Mytilus edulis: one gene and its partner. The protein of the gene in region 1 interacts with the protein of each later gene in a pairwise test. Links are inferred from orthologs where the notes say so. Each region holds a gene or a part of one and is shown on either strand. Other genes may lie near its edges.

What was found.
Region 2: the proteins of E3 ubiquitin-protein ligase DTX4-like (region 1) and beta-arrestin-1-like interact in a two-hybrid assay, tested with the Drosophila melanogaster proteins (2 studies listed by BioGRID). The link is inferred for Mytilus edulis from reciprocal best matches to the Drosophila melanogaster genes dx and krz.

What each region holds. Positions count from the first base shown.
Region 1 is NC_092349.1:2,897,077-2,906,985, forward strand, and holds the start of E3 ubiquitin-protein ligase DTX4-like, read left to right. Parts: upstream 1-5,401; 5' UTR 5,402-5,407; coding exon 5,408-5,654; intron 5,655-9,909. Other genes in the region: coiled-coil domain-containing protein 92-like, read right to left, coding at 605-731.
Region 2 is NC_092346.1:87,674,816-87,685,048, reverse strand, and holds the start of beta-arrestin-1-like, read left to right. Parts: upstream 1-5,617; 5' UTR 5,618-5,632; coding exon 5,633-5,691; intron 5,692-10,233. Other genes in the region: serine-rich adhesin for platelets-like, read right to left, coding at 3,604-4,938, 5,120-5,137.

The DNA of each region.
Region 1 (9,909 bases):
TTACTACTTAGTTTTTGATAGAAACTCAAACTGCATTTTACCATAATGTTCCACTTTAAGTCATATACAAAAAAACTTGATTTAGGTAAAGTTTTTACCTGTTTGGCCTCGAAGTTTCAGAAAACAAAAAAATTTAACATATTAGATTGTAAACAAAAAATAAGTCCTCAGTTTTATTTGTATTTTTCAAGCAAGACAGACTATAAGGGTTCTTTCTTCTATTTAACTTTTAAAAGTATCAATTTATCACATTAAGTTAAGTAGCTTTTATAAATATAAAGATATTTTCATGATAAAAACTAAGCACAAACATGACAAAGGAAACAACGATTCAAGTTATTTTTAAATCAGGTTTCATATGATTCAGATTGCCATATGGCCTTCAACAATGAACAAAGCCCATACTGCATAGCCAGCTAGTATTGCCCTGAAAGCACAAGTGTAAACATTTCAAACAAGAAAACTAACGGCATAATTATAGCCTTTAGAGCCTAACAATCGATGAAAACTATTGATTTTTATGTGAGTTGCAGGGTTGACAGATTAATGTCTCGATAATAAAAACTTTCATTCTAAACCAATTTTTTTTCTTCCTATCTTTTACCTGAACATTTTTTCTGAAGATTTTCTATTTCCTTGTGTAAGCCTTTTAATGTTTCTGCATGTTCTTGTTGCATAAACAGGATGGCACTATCTAAATTTCTTTTGTGTATTGCAGCTTCAGACGTCATGGTGATTGGTGTTAATGCAAGCAGGTAAACTGTTCAAACTGAAATGACATTAATTGATTAAATTATGTATACAAAATGTCTATATCTAAGTTTCATTTTTCTTGATTTAGCTGGTTTAAGATTTTTGAACACACATGACATTTATGTATATACAGTCGACTCTCGTTATCTCGAAGTCAGCCGGACCAGAGAAATATTTCGAGATACACATAGTTTGACTCAAACGAAAAACGAAAGTTTGACAGAACAAGGGACACAACTCTCAATAAATCTGGGTGAATATGGGAAGGGGATCGATATTCGGGTATCAGATCGATGTAATTACAGTATTTGTATGTCATGGTCTTTCATTATTATAATAACATTACTTTTACCTATTCAATTGTTTCAGTTACAATTTTTTCCTATGGCTTTTATCTGAGAGAGTAATTTCAATCGATAGTTTCGTTATTCAGGTTGTTTATAGTTGACACAACTGTTTATTCTTGGATACGAGAGATTTTAGAAAATTTTGATTTTTCTTCATTTTGTTTTATCTCACTCTTTCTTTTCAAAAGAAAATACAACAAGATTAAAGATGCTGATTGAGTATTTTTGAGGTGATCATCAACGGAAGTCATAATCCTTACCTTATACGTGACACAAGCTCATTAGTGTAAATCACAATTAATTGTTTTGTTAACATTTTAATACGTTTTCATGAACATTAACAATGTATCACTAATTATTAATAAAAATTCTATAAAAGATAATCTTATGTAAACACTCGTGGAAATACAAAATGTAGCATGTCATACATCAATATAGTGGTCAGTGACTGGAAATTTAATTACAATTACACGTGTATTGTCAGATTAACTCTTCAATCCATTTAAATGCTGGAGGTCATGTTTTGACATATGTGTATTAGTTCGAGATAAATAATGAATTCCAAATGCTTTTCTTAACCTAGGGATTGTAAATTTAGGTGGACTCAACTGAAATTTTGAGGAGTCAAATTCCATACATTTATATGTAACAAAGTGTGAGACCACCTGAAAACTTCGACGCATCTAAAATTTTGAGTCAACCGAGTTCGAGACGAGAGTTAACTGTATTTATATATTGGCGAGGGAAGAACAAAAAATTTGCGAAAGCAAATTTACAGATCTAACATTGTTGGGTTGATGTTTAGACGAGTTGTATATACATAATGTACACAGCCATGTATCACCATCACTGTTGGTGATCCGATAGATAAATCTGTTGTAGAGTTGTCACGGGCTTAGACGTACTTATATATATATATATATACAACTCATCTAAACATCAACCCAACAATGTTCGATCTGTAAATTTGCTTTCGCAAATGTTTTGTTCTTCCCTTGCCGGGATTCGAACCCATGCTACTGAGATATTGTGACACCAAATTGCCTGCACGGTAGTCTTCCCTCTAGACCACACAACCACCTGGGCTTCATAAAAATAAAGCTTTCGTTGGCCAGGTGTTACCTTTCCAAGTCAGTTTTAATCTAGCGTCGTACTATATATATAGCTACACAGTACATGATATATAAGGCATGGAGATGTAGTTTTTTACAGATCAGCTAAATTATCTATAGTAAAGGATCCTACAAATTAATGTTAGATACAGTCACAGAAAATAATTATATTTATAAGTACGTCTGAGCCAGTGACAACTCTACAACAGATTTACCCATCGGATGTATTAGAATAAAAATCAAGTTTATTTTCCTAGCAGCTAGACAAATAGAAAATACATTGTAGCTGTCTTATTCTTGCTTATTATTTTCTAGAACTTGACACCAATATGTATGCTTTGCATGATGTGCTTACTATTTTATGTCTTGTGCTTATCATATATATGTCAGTGTTCTCCCATGGCTGTTTTAGCACAGCGATTTTTAGCACTAATTTTTGGTAAGGCAGCAATTCTACAGTAATGAATTTTACCTTTTGAAAACAATTGAGAGGATATGATTAGAAAAACAAACCCCAAGCTGAAACGACTTGAGAAATTCTCGATGTCCAGCTTGGATGAACTTGAAGCCATTTGAATATTATATAACGTTAAGGTCAGAAAAATGACAAATCATTATGCTAAAAAATGTCAATTCCTGTCAAACGTTGTAAGGTTAACAGTACACTGCTATAATGGGTTACAAAACCATACACAGAAGATGACAATGACTTTATTGTTGGTCCTACATGTTCTGAAACATCACCTGTTAGTGATAAGAAATCTTCACATAGACAGTCTGGTATAGACCCATCATAGAAAAGACTTCTCCTTGGGTTTTTAACACAGATAATATGAGGAATTTACATAAAGAGAAAAAAAAGATATTTCTTCTACATGTATCATGTCTATATCCAGACAATAACATTAGCAAACAAAGGGGTAACTTCCATGAGCATGATGAGGACATCATTACAAGAGACAACATCAATAGCATTATATAAGAAAAACACAAATCAATTACAAACCAACCGCGCGCCGCGACAAAGTAACTGAGAATTGTTGAAAATCACATGCTTACCACAGTGCTATCCAAAAATCCTGGGGAGAACACGTACATTGTATGTACACATGTATGTCGAATAAAACCTCTACAGAGCTTATGTTATATTTTTGTATGTATACCCCACTTTAAATCAAACTTTTATGCTTATGCTTTGAGTATTTTTTAAATTTTGACTCAATGACTTTGAGATGATGAACAGCAATGAACATAATCATGATAATGAAAGGGCTGTTCCTTTGCTTTTTTGTGTGTTTTTACTGTGCATGTACTACTGATTTTGAGTCACGAATGGATACTCTATTATCCTTTTGTACTTTTGTTTTTCTATTAACCTGAAGATGGTTTTACACTAAATGATACTAGGTAAATCAACTTAATTGGTCTTTAAATTAAGTATTTATTATTAATATTATGCTGTCATTGAACAATTGTATCTTATTGTGATGTGTAATAACATAAGTAATCTACATGATATAATGCGACCTAGACAATCTATTCAAATAGCATGATTAGAAAAAATTGTCATGTCATTGACAGTATCTCACAGCAGTCAATAGTTTTACAATATAGGATAGTGAAATCTGACCTTGTCACACATGTTCCGTTTTGAATCCGGGTCTGTTCGCGCCCAATCACATTCGCACCCATTAACGTTCGCGCCCTTTCACTTTCGCACCCAAAGTCTGTTCACACCCTACACGTTCGCGCACAATTTTCATTGGTATTATTTGTATAATTTGGAATCAAGTTTTGGTAAGCATGGTAAGTGTATTGCTATATATAAATATTTGTTTTCATTGTTTCTACATATAGTTAGATTCTGACAACGTTTTCTTAAAGTGTTGAATAAATCTTAATGATGTTTAGGCAAATGTACTGCTCTATATAAATATATTTTTTCATTTGTTTCTAAATTAAGTGAGATGCTGACGTTTTTTTATGTGTTGATAAAATCTAAATCAGGTTTTGGTTAGTGTATTGCTATAAATATTTTTTTTTACATGAGTTCAAAGCAGCCAAGCTGTTAAAAACAATTATCTTTCGAGTTTTTGATTCAAAATCTTCAAAGTTTTACTCATACCAAGCTAAATACATGCAGTATTTACATCCAAGCAATTTGCAAGTTAAAACAACAATCATGATTTTTAAGCACTCAACAATAACACCAAATTTAGCTGTGTATAATTTACCAATTAGCAGTAATCATACATAACTAACATTTAATAATTAATCATAAAATTAATAAAAAAAGTTATATTTATTATATAAATATATAATTCCTCAAATTTTATTCAAGAAAATAGAATTATTTGGTATAAATTGGGCGCGAACGTACTTCGGGGGCAAACATGTGAGGCGCGAAAGTATATTTTGCGCGAACAGACCTGATACCGTTTTGTCAGACTCGAAGATGTCTGATGCCACAAAGGTATATAGGTAATTCTTGTATGACCTAAAAAACCTGGGATCACAGATTCTCATGTCAAGCGTTGCAGACTTCCAAATAACAATAAGGTTTATATAAAATATTTCATAAGACAAAGGGGACATTATTTTTCCTTTCAAATGGCAATGCCAATCACTGATCTGGGGCACAAATTATTCAAGTCAATAGAACATATGTTCAGGACCGGCTTCGAATTTTAACAAAAACAATGCCATTCAGATATGTAGCCTTTCCTCACAACGTTATAAACGGGCGACATATTTTGACAAAGAGCAAATTTTAGAACGATTAAAATGAACAAGGTCCGTCTGAGAACATAATTTCACATTCGTAATAAAAATCGGTTATGCCATGTGTTATTTAAGAGGAGGGAGATTTTACGATCAATTACTTTACATTCACGTCGATAGCATGTTCACCAATGCTTGTATGCTGTGAGTAAGCTTTAATTGGTTGTTTACTGTCGCAGCAACATTTTCAGTCCAGATGGTTTTCCTTCGCTACAAGAATGCCGCTGAATTGTGGGTAAAATGACACCGGATGTCATTAATTAGTTTAACAAAATATATAGTTGAGATAATCTACAGCTGAATGCAAGCATATTAATTTTAAATTCAAAGAAAACCTATATAGAAGAAGAAAAATAAGATAAAAATAGTTCTCATAGTAACGAGATGTAAACAAAACGCCTTTCGGGATAATTTATGCTTTTGAAAAGTCCAGAGGTATATCGAACAATCATGAAGATGTCACAGAGCTCAACCAACGTGATTGTTTGGGAGTGGATGAATGAATTTGGACGGTGGAGACCGTATGAACCTAACGTTACACAATACATAGAAAATGCCTATCAAAATAATTCCAATCAAGTAAACCTGAGTGCAGCCGACAGCTCCTTATCTTCATACGCCATCGATTTTGTCACCACTTGCCAGATACGACTTGGAACAGGTGTATAACCGTTTATTTTTTTTCCAGATACACAATAGCATGGGTTCAAAGCGGGACCTGTCAGAGTTAAATTAAACATGAATAAATACATACTTTGCCTTTGACACTATTCTTGCCCTGGTATCTAGAATAAAGAGAAATGAAACAGGAAAATTTTATGTTTCAGAAACCAAAACTGAAAAGCCTGACCATAGAGCCGTTTGAGAGGTTTCGATGTTCGGGCTACATGTCGTTTCAGCCATACATCACTGCGGCAATGTTTACTTTGGTCATTTAGGTTACATTATGGTTTTATTCCTAATGTCTGTGCATATATACTTTTCAATGTTTTTATTAACATATGATACAAATGTAGGTATGGGATTTTGTTAGTCGGTTTGTCTGATATCAGAGGAAAAATGGTTGGACATGTAACCTGGTAACAGCCATATTAAGCTTGTTTGACGGGACAAGTTCAATCATTCTGTAGAAAATAAATTAAATCCATCTTTGATTATATCAAAGAAATAATCAATTATTAATTCTAATATTATAACCTATTATCGTCAACCAGTATAATCACAATATACATGTATCCACCTTTAGCGCAAACGCAGTACTTCATAAAAACGACTGTTCTGCATTAGGACCAACTTATGCATACTGCCAGATATTCTCAATTATACCTAGGCCATGGTTTCAGATACAATATATTTATCTCTTTTTTTCTACAGCAAAATGAACAAATCCATTTCAATTCATTTTTCATGACCCAGTAGAATTTCATAAAATGAAAATTCCACGAACATGACCAAAGGATGCTATTGTCTTGGCATGGCAATGAAACAAGGTGACGTCACAAGTATGTTTCTGAAAACAAAAAATATTTTTGGGACAAGTTACATCATTGTACATTGTATAATTCCATTTTGACAAATAAGTTTTTGGTACATGTTGGACAAGTTGAAAAAAAGTTATTGTAGATCAAGAGGCCTGACAATGTTATAAAAGATATATATATAACATTTGTATAAATGAAAGTATATACATTGTACATGTATATCAAAGTGTCTATAAATATGAAATAAAACCTATGGCTGAAACCTCTTTTATTACGTGGCCAAAGGGGTACCCAGACAAAACTCCAAGGCCTAATCAACCAAGGACAATCCAACTCGCCAAAACTTCTTTACCCCCTTAGAGCATAAAAACAGCCCAGGCTTAAAGGGAAACTTCGCCAAAAAATCAAAAATTGATATTATGTTTATTCTGTATAAAAATGCTCAAATTCATAGATATTAAAGTTTTATTCTGCTAGATAAGAGATCACCATCGATTTTAAATTTAGAGTATCAATTCTCTGCTGTCACCCATTATGTCACCTTCTCCGATTTGCAGTCACGATATGTCTAAGGACCAAAACTACAGTAACCCGATGTAGTTGTAATTGAGTGTCGATATCTTGTCAATTGTACGGTTGTTTTATCCGACTAGTTAACTAGTTAACTTACTTGATACGGAAAATTTTCTTCTTTTCTTTTTAAATAACCATGATCTGTTATTTTTAGACTGATAATATAGGAATTTAATAGTGAAAAAGTCAAAATTTCAAATCATAAATAAGTCTTCCGTGAAACTTGAATTGTTTTCGGAAATCTAATTAGTTCATAATTCTTTTATGTAATAAACTTTATTCAAATAAATTAGGATCTTCGCTCCACTGATCACCCGCATGGCTAAAGGTATTACTCCCAAAGATATTGTAGGGGGTGTGAGATGACACGTCCAGGTATTCAAGCGATTTCCTGTCGAGTTTGCAAATTCATGCATTGTTTCACTTCTTAGTGTATTGATAAGTGTACACGCCCGATAACTTATAACTTTCCATTTTGAACTATTAGGTGTATAATATGGGCAGGAATTCGCTAGTGAAATTTTAGGGTCAATAGTGTTTATCCAATTAAAAAATAAAGAAATCATGCAAATATGGAGAATAAACATTGTTTAAATATCAAAGTGGGTTAGTCTTTATTGCCACATGCAAAAAAAATGGATCCAATTAAAAAAAATCAACAAAAAATCAGCACTTGTTGTGTGCTGGCAGTTGAAAACTGTAGACAAAAAGTGTGACATTTCTGCAGTGGCAAAACCCCTAGTCATATTTAGAATATGCCTGAAGAATTGTTCTACTATAATAGTTGAAAATCAACTGCAAAATGATCGGTCTATCATTTAGAAACCCCATTTTGTACAGAATCCGATTATTGCTGCAAATAAAATACGTTTGAAAATGGACAAGTGCATGTAACTTTTCCCGTCAACAAATGTTACATGCACCTTTTCATTAGCTGATTAGCTTTGGAAACAAGTTATTGGTCCAGCATGGCAAATTTTGAAAGGTGTCAACAATGGTTACAATTTGGATTTCATGATTTTTATCAATCAACTGAAGTTTGAAAAATATAGAAGGTAAGAAAATTTATTTCATTTTCGTGTCAATACTGCCCAATAATACTCATCTTTTTATAACAGTTGTATACTTTTTATAGTAAGCATTACCATAATTATTTTTTTCACATTTCAACCCACTGACAATTACATTAAAATGTGGCTTTGTCATCTTTCACACTTGGCATCTACCAGTGAGCAAGCAGATGATAAGAGAGTGGGACCAGGTTAATTTGACCTCACAATGAAGTGTTACATGCACTTTTTGTGTAAATTAGGTTCTTTGATAATGATGTGTGACTTGCTTTGCAATTTTGTCAAAAAATATAAGTTTATCTTGTATTTAAACAGGTTTGACCCTTACGATATTCATTTTATTGCTGGAGAGATTTCTGTACATAACATTGACACGAAAATATTTACCAAGGAAAGGTGTCTATGATACATGCAAAAGCTTTTTTTTGTACGGTTTGCCTTATCAATCTAATTTTTTACATGAAATACCACAGATTAATTGCCAATTTGATTAACTAGTACTTGTATTCATTCTCAGCATTATAAAGATAACTGGCCACTTAATTTGAAAACATAAAATGTAACATTGACACCAGAATAAAAACAATATTACTTTATTACACTTAAAGCATAATTGGCCAGTGCATAATATTAAATCAAATGTAAATTTATGCTGTATTCTTAACAGAGAAGTTGTTGATCTTTCTTAATTTCTAGACTTTACAATATTTACTTTTAATTCTTATCGTTTAAAGACATGTAACATTGACACATCTTCTGCGTCCAGGTTACATGCTACAACCTAATAAATGTGCATACAATTATTCAATCAATAAAATCTTGTTGAAATTTAAATTTGCTTCATTAAAATGATATTAAAGAAATAAATGAGTTTTAATTATTTGTGTTTATTTTTTTCCTGATTGACTAGCAATTTTTCCTCATCATTTGTTGGTGTTCCTGTCAATGTTACATACATAACCCTGTCCCAGAATTATAATGTTTTAAAAGCATTGATTTCCAAACCTCTGTTATGAGCTTTAAAATGAGGATATCTGAGTTTATAAATGACTAACATCTGAAATATTGTCATCACACAATTTCTTTGATGCTCCTATGATAACTTTATGAGTAACATGGACTACAATTTTTGCATCAGGTCTTTTTTGTGTTATATGAGAAGATTTTACTGTGTTGAAATCAACAGTTAATCTAATTTTTAATATTCAAAGTTAATATTATGATACTTATTTTAAAAAATAATGTATAAAGGAAACCCAAATTAAACTTTTTTTTCATTAAGAAATTGTGTATGTAACATTGACAGAGTCTATTATTTAGACTTTTACATGTTCAGGCCAGTGTTACATGCGTAAACAAAACTTACTGCCATATGGAGCTATTATCTTATTTTTATTTTACAAAATTAAAGCGTTTTCATGTTTTCCTGTTTAATTTGTCTTTTAACACTAGTTAGTAACATTGACAACAATATTTTGTGTCAAGATTTTTTTATGTTACATGCAAATGTATTACTTCCTTAAAGTCAGACATTTATATAACATTTTATAACCTAAATGATTAATTAGATATTACTGGGCAGCAATTATATTATTTCTCCAAAGTTGACTATTAAGCACACCACTTTCATCTTCTGGTCTTCATGTATGTAACATTGACATACAACCTTTTACTTTCTGTCAATGTTACACGCATGAACAGAACTGATAACATTTACTAACTCCTTTGCTCTATAAAGAGTTTATTGATAATTTAACTTGTTTTACCACCATCAAACTTCATCTTTATTTCT
Region 2 (10,233 bases), on another chromosome or scaffold:
CAAGAAATTTTCAATTGCACAGTATTGTGCAATAGCAAGACATTTTCAATTGCACAGTATTGTGCAATAGCAAATATTTTCAATTACACAGTAATGTGCTATAGCAAGAAATATCTAATTGCACAATATTGTGCAATAGCAAGAAATTTTCAATTGGAGTTATCTTTCTTTGTCCAGAATAGTAGTTGAATCAACTTAAAGCATTGTTTTATACAATATACAATGTATATTCACTTTTACTACCAACTGATAAATTAAAACAATCTTTACCATTCAGTGATAACAAGCACTTTATTTTACATTTTAATATTTTATGATGTATTTAAATGAGTAGTTATTGTTGCAAACTCCATTAAAAATTTGAATTGAGATAAGTTTTGGAAAAAGGGAAAGGGGGATGTGAAAAAAAATGGGGGGGGGGGGGGTTAAATTTTTCTCATTTCAGATTTCATAAATAAAAAGAATTTTTTTTTGAGAGGATTAATATTCAACAGCATATATTGAATTGCTCAAAGGCAAAAAAAATATTTTAAGTTCATTAGACCACATTCATTCTGTGTCAGAAACCTAAGCTGTGTCAACTATTTAATCACAATCCAAATGTAGAGCTGAATCCAGCTTGAATGTTGTGTCCATACTTGCCCCAACTGTTCAGGGTTCAATCTCCGCGGTCGTATAAAGCTGCGCCCTGCAGAGCATCTGGTTCACCATTGCTACTTAAATAGGTTAACTTAACTTCAATGCCCTGTCCATGTCATGACAGTAGAGGGTGTCATATGTTTTGACCTCTGTTTATGGGAGTGTCCATGCATCTTGAATCAGAATATATTTTGGTTCAAGATCATTTACCCATGAGGTTGTCATGGTCCCATCATATTAAAATTAGTCTGCATATTCATTATGATGGAATGTAATTTGCTCATTGTTGAAGGCCATACTGTGACTTTTTCTGTGGTGTGTGGTGGAAAGTTGTCTTATTGTCAATTATACGTTATCTCCTTAAATCGCGAGACACCAACATTTATTGTATTTCGGTTAAATTGTCGTTGAAGTGTTTCTATCTTCAAGAAAATGTAAACTTTATTTATGCTACATGTAAGTGGAATAAAGAGTGACATCTTCAAATACATACATGCATAAGTATTTACTGTGCCTAACCGATCACCTTTGGGGTATTATAATACCTACAGTGTTACCTGGATAAAAAAATTGTCAACACAATTTGTCCATTTAAACTGTACAATAGGTTTTGTGAGAGATTATCAATAGGTGGTCATTTAACTACCTGTAGATTTTACCTGGTTGTTTTTTGCCCTAAATTTTTTTTTCAGGTAGTTAAATGACCACCTATTGATAATCTCTCACAAAACCTATTGTACAGTTTAAATGGACAAATTGTGTTGACAATTTTTTATCCAGGTAACACTGTAGGTATTATAATACCCCAAAGGTGATCGGTTAGGCACAGTAATAAGACTAAATTAAGGAAGATCTCATGTTACATGAGTACATATACATATTTTTAAAATATGCATATCTTTCTCCAACATTTGTATACAACAACAACAGATTTTTATGCATTTCAAAATGTATGATAGAAATGGTATTACAGTATATTGGTAGAATTTATTAGTGCATCTTTTGAAGCTAAACGATGAAACATTTGAATTCTCTTGGTGTCTCACTAGGAAATGGAATCAATTTTCCGCCATTTACTGTACTTGAGGAAACACCATCAGAGTTATCTAATAAAGGTAATGACAAGTTGTGTGAGTATAATCAAGAGTGAAAGTTGTCTATTACTTCACTGATTATTGATGATACAGACAAATCTATAGATGTCTTCTCAACAACAGATGTACATTTAAGATCAGGAACAAAATTGTTGAACATTTGTACATCCTTATGCTTTAAAAATTCTTACAACCTCATGAGAGTGGTTACACATTTAACCCAAACTATATTTAAAAGTACATACATATTAATAAAAATATTAGAATGAATTGTTTCATGTTCGTATTTGATTTTGTTTCTTCGGAAAAAGGGTAAATACCGTAGTCTATTAACTGTACAACAGATCTAGACTTATATCCTTTTGTTGAAACCTTGAGGATACATTCGCACATTGGTGTTTACATGAAAAGCATGTCAGGAAGGTAGTTATTGTAACAATCTAAAAATATCAACAATATACGCAGGTGATTAAAATTCATTATTCAATTAAAGTAAAACATTAAATCTTTGACATGTGCTAAATGGCAAAGAACTGCTATTTCTAAGACAAATTGGGATAAGCATTACTACAAGACTTAAGCTAATAATACTGCCTGGCTATTAGATCCCATTACCATCATGTAGCATGTGTCATCTTACTGAGCTGCCATTGACCTTATAGAAAGGGTAAATAAACTTATCAGAAACCTTATCAGAAACCAATGGACAAGTGGAAACCCAACTTGGATCAAACAATTAATTAAAAATGGTTAAATAGGGAAAATGATATAGTTTTTTTATGAACTAAATCATTTCTTTGTAATTGTTTACAGCTGTGTAATTACTTGTTACAAATTGTGCATTTGCTGACAACAGTGGCAGATCCAGGGGGATGGTTCTGGGGTCCTTTTTTTGGACTATCAATGCATTTAAATGGGAACATATAGTTGGACCCCCCCATGGACCATTATTAAATATCTGTGTCATATATATATATATAGATGAACATATTAGCCACCACAACCATAGGTTTATATTTTAGGTTTGTTTGTAGTGTTGAACAAACAGAACTGTCTATAGCCAGATCTACAAATAAAAATTCATATCTTTATTGAATTATTTGGACAAAGATACAATTTACTGTATACTGAAAACCAAAGTCAAATCTTAGATATTAAATAAAGTTGACAATCATTTCAAGCTTGATTATTCCACACAATAATTATAATAGTCTTGCAGATACAAGCTGTGATGGTTTGTACTTTAATAGAAAGTCAAGATAACCAGTGTTGAAATAAAAAAAAAATAAGTAGACATCTATCCACCAGAGACCAAATGATGTAGATAGTAGCATGGTACAGTGTGGATAGTTATTAGATTTAAACTTCAGACAAATTTTTAAACACTTCCCTTATATAATTACAGACATTAGAGAGGTAGTGACAGAGATAGACGTACCTTCTTAATTTATAGCTCTTTCTCTATTGAAAATATATACTTATACTTTGAAATTGCTCAATATTTAATTAAGTCTAATCAATTTTAAAATACAATTACATTTTTTCATTTTGTTAGTAATGTTTTTTTTTAATTTGAATGGATACTACTCTGTAGAATGCCTAAGATAAACTTGATTACCCCAGGCTTATGGACTAGTAGCAGTTACATGTAGCACATATTGATTGCTAGTACATGTAGCTGTACACAAATTGACAAATAATAATTACTAGTAGCTGTCAACACATTAGGATAACTAGTAGCTGTCAACACATTAGGATAACTAGTAGCTGTCAACACATTAGGATAACTAGTAGCTGTCAACACATTAGGATAACTAGTAGCTGTCAACTAATAAAGATTACTATTAGCTATTAACAAAATCATGTTTGTTCAGTAGAAGTCACCACAAGAATTATTAGTAGCTGTCAACTCATAATGATTACTAGTAGCTGTCATCACATTAGGATTACTAGTAGCTGTCAACTCATCAGGATAACTAGTAGCTGTCAACACATCAGGGTTATGAGTAGCTGTCAACATATCAGGATTACTGGTAGCTGTCAACACACTAGTATTACTAGCAGCTGTCAACACATCAGGATTACTAGTAGATGTCAACACATCAGGATTACTAGTAGCTGTCAACTCATCAGAATTACTAGTAGCAGTCAATTCATTCAGATTGCTAGTAGCTGTCAACAAATCAGGATTACTGGTAGCTGTCAACTCATTAGAATTTCTAGTAGCTGTCAACTCATCAGGATTTCTGGTAGTTGTCAAATCATCAGGATTACTAGTAGCTGTCAACTCATCAGGATTACTAGTAGCTGTCAATGCATCAGTATTACTAGTAGCTGTCAACACACCAGAATTACTAGTAGCTGTCAACTCATCAGAATTACTAGTAGCCGTCAATACACCAGGATTACAAGTAGCTGGCAATACACCAGGATTACTAGTAGCAGTCAATTCATACGGATTACTAGTAGCTATCAACACACCAGGATTACTAGTAGCTGTCAACTCATCAGGGTTACTAGTAGCTGTCAACTTATCAGGATGACTAGTAGCTGTCAACTTATTAGGACTACTAGTAGCTGTCAACACACCAGGATTACTAGTAGCAGTCAATTCATACAGATTACTAGTAGCTATCAACACACAAGGATTACTAGTAGCTGTCAACTCATCAGGGTTACTAGAAGCTGTCAACTTATCAGGATTACTAGTAGCTGTCAACTTATAAGAACTACTAGTAGCTCTCAACTTATAAGAACTACTAGTAGCTGTCAACACACCAGGATTACTAGTAGCAGTCAATTCAAACGCATTACGAGTAGCTGTCAACACTACAGGATTACTAGTAGCTGTCAACACATCAGGATTACTGGTAGCTGTCAACACATAGGGATTACTAGAACCTGTCAACACAGCAGGATTACTAGTAGCTGTCAACACATCAGGATTACTAGTAGCTGTCAACTCATCAGGGTTACTAGTAGCTGTCAACTTATCAGGATTACTAGTAGCTGTCAACTTATTAGGACTACTAGTAGCTGTCAACACACCAGGATTACTAGTAGCAATCAATTCAAACGGATTACGAGTAGCTGTCAACACTACAGGATTACTAGTAGCTGTCAACACAGCATGATTACTAGTAGCTGTCAACACATCAGGATTACTAGTAGCTGTCAACACATCAGGAATACTTGTTAGTAGGAGCTGTCAACACATCAGGAATACTTGTTAGTAGGAGCTGTCAAGACATCAGGATTACTAGTAGCTGTCAACACATAAGGATTACTAGTAGCAGTCAATTCATACAGATTACTAGTAGCTATCAACACACAAGGATTACTAGTAGCTGTCAACTTATAAGAACTACTAGTAGCTGTCAACACACCAGGATTACTACAATCATCACTTAAGAATTACTACTATGTCTTATATCATTCCCAACAATTTGGTATTTGTTTCATGGTCTGTGCCATCATCACTTTTTTCTGAGAGCCGTTTTTTTTTGCATTCACAAGAGTTTGGTTGGCTGCACAATAGTTAATATAAGTAACTAATAAAGTCAACACATACATGTATATATAAAAAAAATCATATTATTATTCAATTCCTACACATTAATTTGTTAAGTTAAGTCCCAACAAACATGGATGAAAAGTCATGAAATATTTGACACTGGACACTACATAAGCAGACAACACAAATCAATAAACCAACAAACAAAATTATGTTGACATTTTCCATTGATTTCATGATAAATTATGAACTATGAAAATCAAATAAGTTGTGAAAAATTAATGAAATAGGAATGTCACAAGTCAAAATATGCTGGATATTCATTTGCATTAATGCAGCATCTGTACTTCTATGTACATGTATGAGATATTGTCAGTTTGTCAAAATGGTGTATAATTCATTAAGTGAGATAGATACTGAAATTATAATGGAACAAAGTATGAGGTAGGTTACTATTGAGGCATGTATCATGTTGTAATGTTCTCTGATTTATATTCTAATTGGTTTTAGACCATATATGGCATCAGGGATCTCAATGGCCTGTTTAATGATGGCGCCCCACCATCGTTCAAATGTCTTGCGCCATCGTCATATGACTTGCGCCATTGTCAAATGACTTACGCCATCGTCAAATGACTTGCGCCATCGTTAAATTGTCTTCCGCCATCGTTCAAAACTTCATCGTTTTGTTGTAGCTGGAAATCAGCCATACCGGTAATGGGTTCTGAATTTGACAGTGTCCATGAAAAATAAGCTCCACATCATATGATTTTTAACCCCCATAACAATTACCAAAAATACAAGAAATCTACATGGGTACCTTCATGACAGCTTTTGGTCATTTTCGACTAAGGGAGGACCATGAAGACTTGGCATTTGAATGGTTAAAAACGGCAATAAATGAAAATATTGATGCTTCTAATTCTATAATGAAAATTCAAATAAATATAATTTAAATAAGCAATGAATTAGCATGTTCACCATTCCTTGTATGGAGGGATAAAATACTTCCGATCGCGCTACACTGTACAGCGTAGACACAGTTTGTAATGGTGAAAGTTCCTCCATCGTTCAATTTTCATCCATGGAGATCCCTGGGCATACAAAACAAAATCAAACTATACTTTTTTACTTGGTGTATAGGGATGCAGTTTCAGTTTCAGCAAATTATAGTCGCTTTGACCTTCATCCAATGCTTTTTAAAATGCCTTAATTAGAAATAAACAACCTAGCTCTTGCCTCTTGAGTTCACATCAAGAAGCATGTAAGTGTGTGTGATAACATGTGCTTAATGATTGACTTCAAACACTAGTAGGTTTCTCTGATATTTTACTCCTTTAGACCCTGTGGATTCATTATTATTCAGTGGATACAAAATTTTGTGGATTTTGTGGATTTAGGTGAAACAAGAAATTAAATAATCAACGAATGACAAATTTTATAATGGCGTGTATGAAGACTTTGCCAAAACCACAAAATTAGATATACATGAACATGGAAGTTTTCCTTCATCCACGAAAAATTAGTACCCTGAAAATAAATGAACTTTTGATTCAATATAGTTAATTTACAAGTATTTTATTCCTGCACTGTGAAGTAGTCCAGCAACTCTTAAAATATTTCTTTAAGACAAGTGTTTAAAGGATTCTTTTCTGTATACTTGGGTTATAGTTTTAATTGATGAAGGTAACACTGTCACCGTAACAGATCTCTGAATTTTAGCTTACCTGACCATAAGGCCAAGTGAGCTTTTCTCATCTATTGGCGTCCATCGTCTCTTATTTTCAGCCATACACCATTAACTTTTACAAAAATCTTCTTCTTTAAAATTATTGGACCAAAAATCAAAACTTGGCCACAATCATCATTATGGGGATCTAGCTTACAAAATGGGTCCAATGACCCCATTTGCAAATCAAAATGGCCAACATGGCTATATAATAGAACAAAGGGGTGAAATGCAAGTTTTGTCAATTATTTTGGAAACTGTTATAAATAGATAAAATCTGACAAGGGCAGAAATGGTGTGAGTTTTCATCGTCGATCAACTCCTTATTAGAGTTTGTAGAGTTATTGCCCTTTGATGACAACTGTTACTTTTTTGGGTTTTTTTGCCTTATATCAGTACATGTAAACTTTAAAATTACAATGATCAACAAGGCAAGTTCTACAATGAAGTCAATTTCTAATAATATAGCTAATAGACAGTCACTCTTTATAGAAGTGATAGACAAAACAAACAAAAAAGGTGAGCAACACATGCTCTTTCAAGAGCCTCTAGTTTGATTGAATTGAAAATTTTGTAGCATACAAGTCCATTCTGTTATTGTGAAATAGTTCAGACTAATTCATAGTCTTATTTCACTTCCTCCCAGACCATCATAAGTCCATCCTGTAATAAAGACATAGTTCAGCCTGTTCTTTGACTTATTGCACCTTCTCTCTGACCCTTATAAGCTCATCCTGTGTTTTGACATAGTTCAGACTAATTCATTGTCTTATTGCACCTCCACAGTCTGTCATAAGCTCATCCTGTTATCAAGACATAGTTCTGACTGTTCTTTGACTTATTAGGCCTTCTTCCATACCACCAAGGGTAATGTAACTCAGCCTTGACATATAGATCTTGGTAAAATCATGATAACCAGATTTCTCAAGAGTCAGTATTGTATATTCAGCAGATATAAATCATGATACTCAAAAGTTCATTCTGACTTCTGATCAATAAATATACAGAAAGGATTTTCACTTGAAGTTATTGATTTTGTACTTAAAAGTTACAATGATTCCAGTACAGAATCACTCATGTGTGTAAAAACATAAGGATTAGAGGAAGTCTTTTGTTTTTTCAAATTTTGAATTATAAACAAAGCAGTGTTGATGTAACCGAAGCATATATTTGTCTTTTTACATATTTGGTATTAGGCTTTCATCGCAAGGGAATGGACTTGTCTTGACCACAAAATAAAAAGTCCATTCATATTTTAATTCGTTGCCAAGTATTACTGCACGAGATTTTGAATTTCATGGTACTACACATACAATCTCAGTCAATGATTATTGACAATCAGTGCGACCAGAATCCCTAAGATGTATATCAAATGATATGTTAAAATTCAGAAAGCTTCTTAAACAAAACCAAGTTGAATTTGACTCTTTTAACCCTGTGATTAAGGCAACATCATTTCTTTTTTTTTCTTCATATATATATGACGCCCGTCAAGCAAAAACCACCCTTATCGCATTTGACGTCGTTATCGGTAGTCAACGCTAAAATGTAACGTAGAACAAACCGATAAATTGCACGTTGAAATTGAAATATTTTTTCTAAACATCATAGCGTTATCCATGCGAACTGAATAGTATATTCTTATATTACATATAAATGCTTCTGTAAAATAATGCCGTATTTACGATTTAAAATTTAATCTTGTGATAAATTTCTATTCAAACTTTTCAAATGCTTGTTTTGGCATACGCTGTATATTCTTATTGTCTTGAGAGGAATGATTTATAAACAATATAATAAAATCCCACACATCACCATGTCTCATTAATACATAGTACCACGATATGTGATGATACACGTATTAACCTTCTACAATATATAAACAATACCAATGTTGTGTAAAAAAAAAACCACTTAAATATTTTCTAAAAGTTTTTTTCCGCAGCTGGATTTCTTTTATACTTTTAATACGGGAAGTTATTGTATGAAGAACCTAAGAAAATAATTTAATATTTGGCGCAACATTATGCATGCCAAATGCGGAAAATCTTGCATGGTTAATCACACGAGAGAGTTTGCTTACAAGAAATTAAGTACGAAAGAGAAGAAAGTCTGTCTGAAATTTTTCGTCTTTTATTTTGCCACGCTTTAAGGAACATGTGTACTAAGTTTCAAGTTGATTGGACTTCAAATTCATCAAAATCTACCTTGACCAAAAACTTTAACCTGAACTGGGACGAACGAACGGACGAACGAACGAACGGACCCACAGATCAGAAAACATAATGCCCTCTACTATCGTAGGTGGGGTATAAAAATTTGCAATGCGTTTAAAACTGTTAGTATGAAACACATATCAGTTCATAATTATGTCACTCACTTTAAAAAAAAGTGTGGGTATACTGTTTAACCTCTGTCTGTCCGTTAGTCAATCAATCCGTCAGTCCGTCCGTTCGTCCCATGAATATATTCGTCGCATATCTTTTAGGAACTACATTACAAGGATTTCTGAAATTTGGTTTCAGGGTTTATATAATTCAGTTATATCGTGCGATGCGTTTTCAGATTCATCACTCAACAACTTCCTGTTTACCGAAATATTTCGACGGGGGTATCATCAGTAAGCAGTAAATCAATGTTTAACTTGTTTTATAAATGCTTTAAAAGTTTACTTAAATCTCCTACAAAAATTGCCAAAATCGGTTTTAGAGATCCCGGCCACTCATCTTCTAAGTGGAAAGGGGATGGAATTAACTCTGCTCATACGGCACAAAAACTATAATAAACCTAAAATTCGGTTCTTTGGTCAGGATGTTGTCTTTTTGACAGATTCTGCATTACCTTTCTCAATTTTATTCAGGACAAGTTTTATCTTAATTCTTGTTTTACATTTTCTAAAAGTAAACAAAATATAGGTGTTCTGCATCCATTCGAAAACAAATCTTTTAATCTTTTTTTCTTAAATGGTCTGTGTGGTAGGCCATGAAGAAACAAAACAACAAAGAAAGGAAGAAAAATCATCAGTGATCATTATAAAATAAAAATCGCTAGAGGCTTGAGCTAATTCGAAAAATGATTAACAATTTTGGATACATACACGAGATTGTTTAAGCTGGTTAATCATTGTTACAATGTTGTCAAATATATGTATACTATTTAATGGTCACAGTTCAATTTCGTTGTATTAATTTTCTTTGATTGTGAATAAAATGAGATGCGGGATATTGTTTGACTTAAATTGAGTTGTTAACTTGATT